3 linked regions of the Mus musculus genome follow. The protein of the gene in region 2 purifies or fractionates together with the protein of the main gene of each other region. This does not show direct contact. Links are inferred from orthologs where the notes say so. Each region holds a gene or a part of one and is shown on either strand. Other genes may lie near its edges.

The links.
Region 1: the proteins of Prpf4 (region 2) and Tut1 purify together in Homo sapiens (co-immunoprecipitation; 3 studies listed by BioGRID and IntAct, counting the BioPlex papers as one, with this or other methods). This does not show direct contact. The link is inferred for Mus musculus from reciprocal best matches to the Homo sapiens genes PRPF4 and TUT1.
Region 3: the proteins of Prpf4 (region 2) and Gphn purify together in Homo sapiens (affinity purification with mass spectrometry; 3 studies listed by BioGRID and IntAct, counting the BioPlex papers as one, with this or other methods). This does not show direct contact. The link is inferred for Mus musculus from reciprocal best matches to the Homo sapiens genes PRPF4 and GPHN.

Annotation. Positions count from the first base shown.
Region 1 is NC_000085.6:8,960,295-8,963,946, reverse strand, and holds part of Tut1 (speckle targeted PIP5K1A-regulated poly(A) polymerase), read right to left. Parts: intron 1,604-3,652; coding exon 1,125-1,603; intron 1-1,124. UniProt on the Homo sapiens protein: Poly(A) polymerase that creates the 3'-poly(A) tail of specific pre-mRNAs. Localizes to nuclear speckles together with PIP5K1A and mediates polyadenylation of a select set of mRNAs, such as HMOX1.
Region 2 is NC_000070.6:62,407,225-62,410,976, reverse strand, and holds the start of Prpf4 (U4/U6 small nuclear ribonucleoprotein Prp4), read right to left. Parts: upstream 2,195-3,752; 5' UTR 2,103-2,194; coding exon 2,076-2,102; intron 1,403-2,075; coding exon 1,225-1,402; intron 1-1,224. UniProt on the Homo sapiens protein: Plays a role in pre-mRNA splicing as component of the U4/U6-U5 tri-snRNP complex that is involved in spliceosome assembly, and as component of the precatalytic spliceosome (spliceosome B complex).
Region 3 is NC_000078.6:78,621,628-78,625,279, reverse strand, and holds part of Gphn (gephyrin), read right to left. Parts: intron 1,977-3,652; coding exon 1,857-1,976; intron 1-1,856. UniProt on the Homo sapiens protein: Microtubule-associated protein involved in membrane protein-cytoskeleton interactions. It is thought to anchor the inhibitory glycine receptor (GLYR) to subsynaptic microtubules.

The sequences.
Region 1 (3,652 bases), on a different chromosome or scaffold from region 2:
TATGCAAAAGAACATTAAATGGATCTTAGGGATGTGGCTCAGTGGTGGGACATTTACCTAGCACTGATAAAGCCCTGTGTTGTATCCTGAGCCTAGGGATGAGGTAGGGGGGAATATGTATCCACTGAACCTTAGGCAATACTACATTCCAAATGCTCACCCTGTACTGTCACCATTCATAAGACATGTTGTTTATTTATATAGGACTGCTCAACGGCCAGGTGTAGTAGCACGTGCCTATAATTTCAATACTCAAGAGATTGAATAGGAATATAGAGACACTGCCTCAGAGACACAGGACCAGTGAGATGGCTCAGTGGGTAAGAGTCTGCCACCAAGACTGACGCCCTCAGTTTAATCCCTAGGAATTATGTTACAAGGAAGAGAACTGATTCCCACACGTCATTCTCTGACTACACTCAAGATGAGATGCGGACACAAATATAAGAAGCATAGTAGCAAGAATAGTTTATTCAATGCAAAGTGATAATACAGATCTGAAAGAAATATGCGGGCCACATGAATGAGAGTATTCGGAGGCCCAGTTATAATCTGTGGCCTCCTTTTATGGGGTTCAAGAGAAGGCATTTGGTTGCAAAGCTCTTAATATACAAAGAAACAAAGCATGGAGTAGGGAAGGAAAAATAGTGAAGGAAAACCCTGTTTACTTTTAACCTAACAGTTCCTAGGTTTCTGTAGCTACAGAACTCTTTCCTACGCTTTTAACCCCAAAGGAGGAGGCAAAGGCCTATGAGCTCAAGGTTAGCCTGTCTCAACACAGGCTGTCTCAAAAAAACAAAACCAACAACAAAAAGCAGTACTGCAGAGTCAAGCATAGCAGCACATGCCTGTAACCCCAGGAGTTAGGAAGCTAAGGCAGGAGAATCACAGGCTTGAGGCCAGTCTGGACAATGGAGCAAGACTCTGACTCAAACGCACAAAGTATTCCAAAGGAAAAAAAAACACTGAAATGGAAGCCAGGTAGGAGGTGACATTCGTGGAAGAAAGGAGGACTGAACCAAAGAAGAAAAACAAATTCAGCAGGCATAAGCTCGTCCACATCAGGACCCCCTCCTCATATACCCCAGACCTTAGAGCCAGCCTTCAACCCCACACAAAAGTACCGGTTACTGAGGGATACATCTCCATGAAGACCTGAAGGCCGATGACAGAACTTGACCACAGGACGCCGGGCAGAGGGCACAGTTTGGACTCGGTACACTCCAGGGACACAGCCACGGAGAATAGATCCCACCAGCTCTAACACTGCTGCTGCCTCCTCCTTCTCGTCCTTTGAGGCTTCTTCTGCTAATTCTAGCTCTTTCCCCTGTTTCCCCTCTTTCCTGTCCTCCTGCAGTGGTGAAACTGGAGGCAGAGACTGAGGAGAGGTGACAGTGTCAGAGCCCAAAGCAGAGTCGGGTGTCTGTGGTGCCAGAGAAGATGGGGTGTCAAAGTCCAGGGACTCAGACTCTTGAACAGAAGTTGGAGACAGTGAGTCTAGAGGAGAAGCTGGGGTGCAGGCCAGCGCCTGAGGATCCAGGGAAGAAGCAAGGGCTGAGTCCAAGGATGAAGTCTCTGGAACCTTTGGAGCCTTTGGGTCTGGCTGTAATGGAGATAAAAGGGAATGAATCCTCCTCCTCCTCCTCCTCCTCCTCCTCCTCTTCCTCCTCCTCTTCCTCCTCCTTCACCTTCTATGTACAGGCTTTACTCTGCAGCCTTACATAACTCATTTATGTAACTCATTCTCCACAGTCCTTTGAAGCCAGGCAATGGTGGTACATGCCTTTGATCCCAGCATTCAGGAGGCAGAAGGATCTCTGTGAGTTGGAGGCCAGCATGGTCTACATAGTGAGTTCTAGGACACCTAGGACTACATAGAGAAGCCCTGTCTCAAACAAACAAGAGAAACAAGGTGTACACACAGCTCAGACTGACCTTAAGACTTTTCCCTTTCCTTTTACGTCTTCGCTTTTTTGCCTGCATATATGTCTGCACCACATGCACGCAATGCCTGTGAAGGCCAAGCAAGGGCATCAGACTCCTGGAACTGGAATTATGGACAGTTGCAAATGGAAGTGTCTGTGCTGGGACTCCAATCCTTGGTCCTCTGGAAGAGCAGCCGGTGTTCTCAGAGACTTCTTTCCACCCCCATGGCCTCCAACTTTTCACAATCCTCCTGCCTCAGCCTCCCAGAGATTTAGAGTCATGCTTTAAATTAGTCTGACAATCAAGGCTGTCCAAAAGACTACTAAAGCATACAGCCTATTGCTGCTGTCCTTAATTGCCCCCCCCAACACCCAGTGTCTGCAGAAGACATTATGGATTTCAGGAATAGAGCCCAGAAACCCCTGAGCTGGAAATGACCTGAATGCTTCCTCTGTGAAGACTAGCATTCATGGTACCAGAAGATATCAGTCAAACTTCCAAAGGAACAAGGCGACAAACACCCTTAACCTGCTATCGATGCCTATGGAACAACATCAATAACCAACATAGCATAATACCCCTAAGAGTGCAGTAGTGACACACATATTTGACAGTAACTGGCAGCTTTCTAATTGGACTTAACACCTGCTCAACCAGAGGATAACCATGCCTGAGAATGGAAACAGATTACCTACTTGGTGCTATGAAGTCATGGATCTTGAAGAGAACCAACAACCACTACTTTATAAAACCAGCATAATCCCTAACAATCATTTTTTAAATATTATTTTTGTATTTATTTATATGAGTACACGGTAGAGTGTGCATCAAATCCCATTACAGATGGTTGTGAGCCACCATGTGGCTGCTGGGAATTGAACTCAGGACCTATGCGAGAGCAGTCAGTGCTCTTAACCTCTGAGCCATCTCTCCAGCCCCCTAACAACAATCTTAAACATTTGTGCTTATAACCACAGGAAGTACTGACTTCACCCCTCATCAAGGAAACTTTTTTTTACAATAGACAGAGATCACTACAGAAAAGCACAGCTAATGAAAATGCAGAATTGTGGAGCCCAGTCCCATCTACAGAACACTCCTGCACCTAAGGCTCGGTGGACATTGTGAAGGAAGGAACTGAATAAAGATAGTAAGAGCCACAGAATCGGGGAGGCTGTGGTGTGTTGGGATGATATGTTTGTGCACTGTGGAAAGGTTATCTCTGTATTATTCAAATGCTGATTTCTGTACCACACAGAGTACAAGCTGCACTTTGATACTGTTATTCTTATGGCTGCATCATATTTTGTGCACACTCTCTTCAACACCTTCTGATTGGTTTAATAAAGAGCTCAATGGACTATAGCAAAGCAAGAGAAAATAGATAGAACTTCCAGGCAGAAGTAGAACTCTGGGAAAGAATTAAGCAAGAGGGATTTGCCAGTCAGACACTGAATAAGAAACAGGTGCTAGTACTCAAGAAATAACAAGCTACGTGGCAGAATGGAGATTAGTTTAATCTAAGAGGTAGTTGGGAACAAGCCTAAGCTAAGGACAAGCTTTCATAACTAATAAAAGGTCTCCAGGAGGCCAGCATGGTCTACATAGCAAGTTCCAAGGCAGCCATAGCTACATGGTGAGACCCTGCCTCAAAAAATACAAAAACAAAAACCCATTAGGCCAGATGGTGATGGCACATGCCTTTAATTCCAGCACTCAGGAGGCA
Region 2 (3,752 bases):
ATGATAGCAAACACATAAACCCAAGTGATGCTTTAAACTGAGGGCAGGAGGGCCAGGCCACCTCTTCCATTTATTTCACTATCTCTTTCTATAGCTTAGAACATTTCTTATTTGGAAAGCCCAACTCCTACCTGCTAAAACAGTACCCCCAGGAGAGCATTCACACACAGTGAGAGGAAATAATGACCAGGAAAAACAGGATTCCTCTGACAACAAGGTAAGTCTTTTTGGATACTATGGCGATTAGTTTTAAAACCCACAACCCCTCGCCCCTCCTAACCCCCAGTGAGACAGGCTTGAAGACATTTAAGAATAGTATATGTGTACAGGGAAAAAGTGTGCACATTTAAATACTTATAATAACTAAGTTAAACTAGGCAGGTAGTGGTTTTTATTCTTTTTTATGCTTTTATTCTCAGCACTCTGGAGACAGGGGCAGGAGAACCTCTGAGTTGGAGGCCAGCCAGCTTGGCCCATGGCTACACTGAGAAACCCTGTCTTGAAAAACAGAAACAAAAAGGAAAACACAAAGAAAAACCCTAGAAAAGTAAAGGAAAGAATTCTATAAACAGTTATAAACCAATGCCAGAACTAGGTTACATCTCCCAAAGACAAATCCACTCAAGAAGTCTACAGAGACCACGAGTCATTCCTGCAAGGAACTGTAGAGAATACAAGAAATCCACTCACTGGATGATGTCAAGCAGGTAAAGTCACAGGCTCAAAGGTGAAAACAGAAGGGTAAGGTTGCACGCGTTTGCAAGTATGTCTTCCCAACATTTCATTCTAAGTAGGTACCACCACATTGACTTTTTTTTTTTTTTTTTTTAGAAAAAGGAAAAACAAGCCAGTAAAAAAACATGGGTTCTGGGGCTCAGTCTCAGGTCCTAATGGTCACAGAGAAAAGCTTTTGGCACCTGAACTAGCTCCCCAGACCAATAGAAGGTTTTGGCCTATAAACCTAATACTATGTGGTTTGGGAAGGTGTTCATCAGAATATTGAATCATCAAAAGTACATGGTGGCGACCAGGAAGGAGGCAGGAGGAGTTTGAGGTCAAAGGTAAGAGACTGTGGGGGGTGGGGGGAGATGGAAATGTATGGCTCAGTGGCAGAACAGTTGCCTAGCATGCAAAAAAAAAAAAAAAAAAACCCGGGTTGGATTCCCAGCACTGTTTAAAAAAGGGTGTGTGTGTGGGGGTAATGACCTGCAATTTGCATCTTACCGGATGTTATATTAATATTTCCTGCTTCAATGCCGGCTTTGAGTCCTTCTTTTCCCAAAATCCCAGACTCTCCTTTGGCCAGGCGTTCCCGCTCTTTCTCTTCCAAGCTTCCATAGTAGATGTGTGGTTTCTTCACAACGGGAGCAACTAAATCGTCAGGCGCTTTGGTTTTGGTTGTCTGTTAAATCAAAGACCCGGACTAAGGTTTAGTTCCAGCAAACCATGCTTCCCAAAAGAATGAAGCTAACGCTGCACTTTCATCTTCTTTCCTCTCAAAACTAGAGGAGAAAGTCGAAACTGACTTTGTGCGAGTTAAGGCTCTTGTTAAGTTTGGCACACAAATACGACCAATCAATTTCTGCCTGAAGTGTCTTGGTTGTTTTGGGGCCCGTTACTTTAATCGACTGGAAAAGCAATCTCCGGTTTTACGAAAATAACTTCTCACTGCTGGGCAGACACTAAAAACAACCTAAACAATCAGGGTGGCTCTAGGTGCACCAAGTCACGATGTGACTGGAATACACATTTCAAATACTTTCAGAGCCGATTACAAGTTGGGAAGCCTCATCATAGTAAGTACGAGTCGGACAGCTTAAGTCAGGACACAACCCGATTCCAAAGCACCGTGTTTTGGAGCAGCCAGAAAGAGTGGTCTCTGCTCAGGACTTAAGTAAGAGCAGTGCAAAGAGAGCTGCAGCACACGAAGACATCAGGAAAAGGCTACTAAGGTCCACACTAGGGTCCCTCAGCTTTCCTCCTCCTCGGCCCAGACCCGTAAGGTAACGGCCCTTTCCCACGGGAACCCCCGGCCTCTCTAGGGCAGGCCTGAGCTTAGATCCAGAGCTCCGTACCGTGGAGGAGGCTCGTGAGGAGGCCATGCCGGGCGGCGGAGACGCGAGGCCCTAGCCAAATCCGCGTTCTACTTTTCAGACCGGGAACCGCGCGCCTAGCAAAGTGGAAGTGCGTCACTGGCCGGAAACGTATCAGAAACGTACTACGTGCGAAGTATCTTGGGAATGGTAGTTGCCAAAGGTCGGCTGGAGTCGAGGGGCGTGGCCTTACAGAGCTACACAACCTCGCGGGAGAAGAGGAGCATGGGAAGAGAGGCGCAGAGCAGCCTGGGAGGTGTAGTTTGGGCTGCGCAGCAATGGAGTCATGGTGGGAGTTGAGGTTCTGGGGAACTGCAGAGGCCTGAAAAGAGGTAGGTTTGCGGATCGCAACCATAATCTGGAACAAAACGAGGGTCTCTGTTATCCTTCGGGAGGCCTTCCGCCATTTCGAAGCTGAGGCCTGTGTTGCCATGGAAATCTCTCCCTAGACTTCTGCAGCCTTGGAGCTGGGAAAGAGGACTGTTGTCCACGACGGAAGTCCTTCGGGGGCCCCTCGTAACTCGGTGGCTACGTAATCAGTTTGGGCTTCAAGAAGATATTAAACTCTAAGACCTTCTAAGGCTAAAATAGAGATGTGGTGGAGGAGCTGCGGCCTAGTTTGTTGTGGGTTTACTTGTCTACAGCCTATTCTTTGTCTGTGTTCTTTGAAATAAAGGGTCCATGAAGGCTCCAGATAAAGAGCATATCAGCAGTAGTAGCTCCAATGAATGTTAGGCCATCAGAGATAAGGTTTTTTTTAAAAAAAAAATCCTTACATGAAAGTTGTGGGGGTTACAAAAATATGCGCGTTTGCCGAGCTGAACAGACTCACTTCCACACTCAAGGCCCTGCCCCGAACAACTCCAATTAGAAGAGCACTTCCTTTTCGAGGACTTACTAATGCCGAGTTACGCGCAACGAGCTTATTCTGTTTTAGTCATCTCAGTCACGGACAAGAGTACAAGCCCGAAAAAAACCAAAAAACATTCTGGTGAGAAAAGGTCGTTCTGGAGCCGTAGTAGTAGAATTAGTAACGTGGCAGGTCGCGAGCCGCCGAGCCGCGCTTTTAACTCGTACTCATTATTGCTCTCTAGTGGTGAGGCTTTCAGAAAGTTCCCTCGCAAGTAGGGAATTATTGTTGTTGTTGTTGTTTTTCTAAGTGTTTCTTCCTTTCCCCCTTGGAGCTGACTTCCATTTCTCTACGTAAGGATCTGGTAGAAAGTAGTATCTGATAGAATAAAGCAGTTTTGAAATGTCACGGGCCAGTGTTTTGATTAGATCACCCCTTGCTGTGCTAAGCCTCCTGAGAGAAGTGTAAATGTTTCCTATACATTGTAGTGTTTTGTTTCGTTCTGGATGCACGCAATAATAATTTCTATGAATGCACACTATAGCAAAACTTTCATGTAGATCACTATCATTTAGCTTTTTATTTTAGTGGTCTAAGTGTAACTTTGTTTTTTTTTTTTTTTTTAAATTATTTATTATATGTAAGTACACTAGCTGTCTTCAGACACTCCAGAAGAGGGCGCCAGATCTTGTTACGGATGGTTGTGAGCCACCATGTGGTTGCTGGGAATTGAACTCAGGACCTCTGGAAGAGCAGTCAATGCTCTTAACCACTGAGCCATCTCTCCAGCCCCTATGTGTAACTTTTAT
Region 3 (3,652 bases), on a different chromosome or scaffold from region 2:
GTGCCAATAAACAGTACATTCTCTAATTTTCATGGTTTAAAAAAATATCAATTAAACCATTGAATTGTATTTTGTATATAAGATTCTCAAGAATCACATATATATATATACACATATATATGCATATACATGTATATATAAATGATGTACATATATACACACACATGTGATAAATGAAGGTGCCTGTCAACAGCCTCTCTTTTGGTTGCTATGGAGCTCAATATTGTGTCAAGGTTCCCAAATATCTATAGAAATGATGTACAGGTATAGATTCCCAAATACATATAGAAAAGTATAACATGGCTGTAGATTTCTGTAACCTTATAGTAATTATCAATTTTACATTCACAGGTTGTGAATAATATTGTGACACTGGAATTGTGCCTTGTTATCTCATAGTTTGAGGATGCATATGTTCTTCCCTGATGCTAATAAAACTCTGCTTGGGCAGCTTTAAGAGCAGGTCATCTGATCTGTGCCAAAGGTTGAATTTTATATATGAGGAAGATGGAAAAAAAAAAAGAGGAAAATCTCTTTCTGCTTTAAAAAAAAAAAATCTCCAGAACAAGGAAGGTGGTTATCTCTTCCCATGGCTATATTTTATTATTTACTTAATCTACAAGAATATACATTATTTTTTAAATCTCTCCTTCAGAATATAAGATTCCTTAAACTTCACAAAACAGGTATAATTATCAGCCTATAAAACTGTCAAAAATTGTAGTTTTATTCCTAATAGTATGCTTTTAAAAAAGAGGTGTATTTTATGTGTAGGAATGCTTTGCCTGCATGTATATACCACATGTGGGCCTGGTATCCATGAAGCTGAGAAGAGGGTGTTGGATGTCTTGGAAATGGAATTACAATCTGTGTGCTAGGAATCAAACTTTAGTCCTCTGCAAGAGCAGGAAGTACTTTAAACCACTGAACCATCTCCAGCCTGTGCTATTTTTTTAGGGGGTGGTGTGGTCAACTTGACATAAGCAAGAACCACCTGAGAAGAGAAAAAACATCAACTGAGAAAATAAGGCATTTTCTCAATTTAAGATTGATGTGGGGGGTGGGGGGAGCCCAGCTTACTTTGGGTGGTGCCATCCCTGTGCATGTGGAGCAAGCAGACTGAGCAAGCCATGGGAAAGAAGCCAAAAAGCAGCATTCCTCTGTGGTCTCTGCTTCAGTTCCTGCCTTGAGTGCCTGCCCTAACACAGAAGGATTGTGGCCTGTAAGCTGAAAAACCCTTTCCTCTGCAAGCTGCTTCTGCATAGATTTTATCATAGCAATAGAAACGTAACCAGGGCAAGCCACAGTAGTCTGATTTTAAAAATTGGTATTAGTTTTCTTGACAAAATGGCCTATTTAGATCCCATAAAGTATCTCTTATTTGAAACAACGCGGAGGGAATTGACACAAGTTCAATATTTCCAGGCTTTTATTTGATGGCAGAGCTTTTCTCTGAACTGAAAACCAGTGGTGAAAGGGTCATTTGGTTCAAGAACTTGCCCAAAGTCCTTTATATTAAACTCTGATTCCAAGAACACCTTCATCATCTTTATTCGAAGGTAGTAATCTCCATAGCAAAAAGATATGTCAACTGTTAATATCATTGTTTTTATTGTGAAATAATTTCTTTGTTTGCCTGTGAAGATTCTTATGTTAGGCATAGTTCAAATTCTACACTAACAATAGCATAAAAGTTCATCCAATGTCAAAAGATTTTCAATCTTTATGACAGTTATTTACTAGAGACCGACATATTACATTAACACTACCCCCCCCCCCATCCAAGTTAATCTTCTAACACTGTAGAAACTGAGTATGACTTCTAATACTGCCACAGGAACCTGGTGGTGACATACATCATCTGATTCCCTGATGAGTTCAGTATCTTCAACTTGCACTACTGCATCAGCACCGCAGGGGATTGGAGCACCTGTTGTAACCCGCATCACTTGTCCTGGCATTACTGTCTGAGTTGGCTGAAAGTATAAACATAAAAGACAGCTGGTTACTTAGTTGCTTCAAAGGAAAACCTTCAGGGAATATATTATTTTTAGGAAACAAATACTGAAAACTTTTTTTTTTTTTTAGGTATTTTCTTCATTTACATTTCCAGTGCTATCCCAAAAGTTCCCCATACCCTCCCCTCCAACTCCCCTACCCACCCAATCCCACTTCTTGGCCCTAGCTATCTCCTGTACTGAGACTTATAAAGTTTGCACGACCAATGGGACTCTCTTTCCAATGATGGCCGACTAGGCCATCTGCTGATACATATGCAGCTAGATACACGAGCTCCGGGGGGTACTGGTTAGTTCATATAGTTGTTCCACCTATAGGGTTGCAGATCCCTTTAGCTCCTTGGGTACTTTCTCTAGCTCCTCCATTGGGGGCCCTGTGATCCATCCAATAGCTGACTGTGAGCATCCACTTCTGTGTTTGCTAGGCCCCGGCATAGTCTCACATGAGACAGCTATATCAGGGTCCTTTCAGCAAAATCTTGCTAGTGTATGCAATGGTGTCAGCATTTGGAGGCTGATTATGGGATGGATCCCTGGATATGGCAGTCTTTAGATGGTCTATCCTTTTGTCTCAGCTCCAAACTTTGTCTCTGTAACTCCTTCCATGGGTGTTTTGTTCCCAATTCTGAGAAGGGGCAAAGTGTCCACACTTGGGTCTTCGTTCTTCTTGAGTTTCATGTGTTTCGCAAATTGTATCTTATATCTTGGGTATTCTAAATTTCTGGGCTAATATCCACTTATCAGTGAGTACATATCATGTGAGTTCTTTTGTGATTGGGTTATCTCACTCAGGATGATGCACTCCAGGTCCATCCATTTGCCTAGGAATTTCATAAATTCATTCTTTCTAATAGCTGAGTAGTACTCCATTGTGTAAATGTACTATATTTTCTGTATCCATTCTTCTGTTGAGGGGCATCTGGGTTTTTTCCAGCTTCTGGCTATTATAAGTAAGGCTGCTATGAACATAGTGGAGCATGTGTCCTTCTTACCTGTTGGAACATCTTCTGGATATATGCCCAAGAGAGGTATTGCGGGATCCTCCAGTAGTACTATGTCCAATTTTCTGAGAAACCACCAGACTGATTTCCAGAGTGGTTGTACAAGCTTGCAATCCCACCAACAATGGAGGAGTGTTCCTCTTTCTCCACATCCTCGCCAGCATCTGCTGTCACCTGAATTTTTGATCTTAGCCATTTTGACTGGTGCGAGGTGGAATCTCAGGGTTGTTTTGGTTTCATTTCCCTGATGATTAAGGATGCTGAACATTTTTCAGGTGCTTCTCAAGCATTCAGTATTTCTTACGTGAGAATTCTTTGTTTAGCTCTGAGCTCCATTTTTTAAATGGGTTTATATTAGATATTAGTCCCCTATCTGATTTAGGATAGGTAAAGATCCTTTTCCAGTCTGTTGGTGGCCTTTTTGTCTTATTGATGGTGTCTTTTGCCTTACAGAAGCTTTGCAATTTTATGAGGCCCCATTTGTTGATTCTTGATCTTACAGCACAAGCCATTGCTGTTCTATTCAGGAATTTTCCCCCTGTGCCCATATCTTTGAGGCTTTTCCCCACTTTCTCCTCTGTAAGTTTCAGTGTCTCTGGTTTTATGTGGAGTTCCTTGATTTGGCCTTAGTAC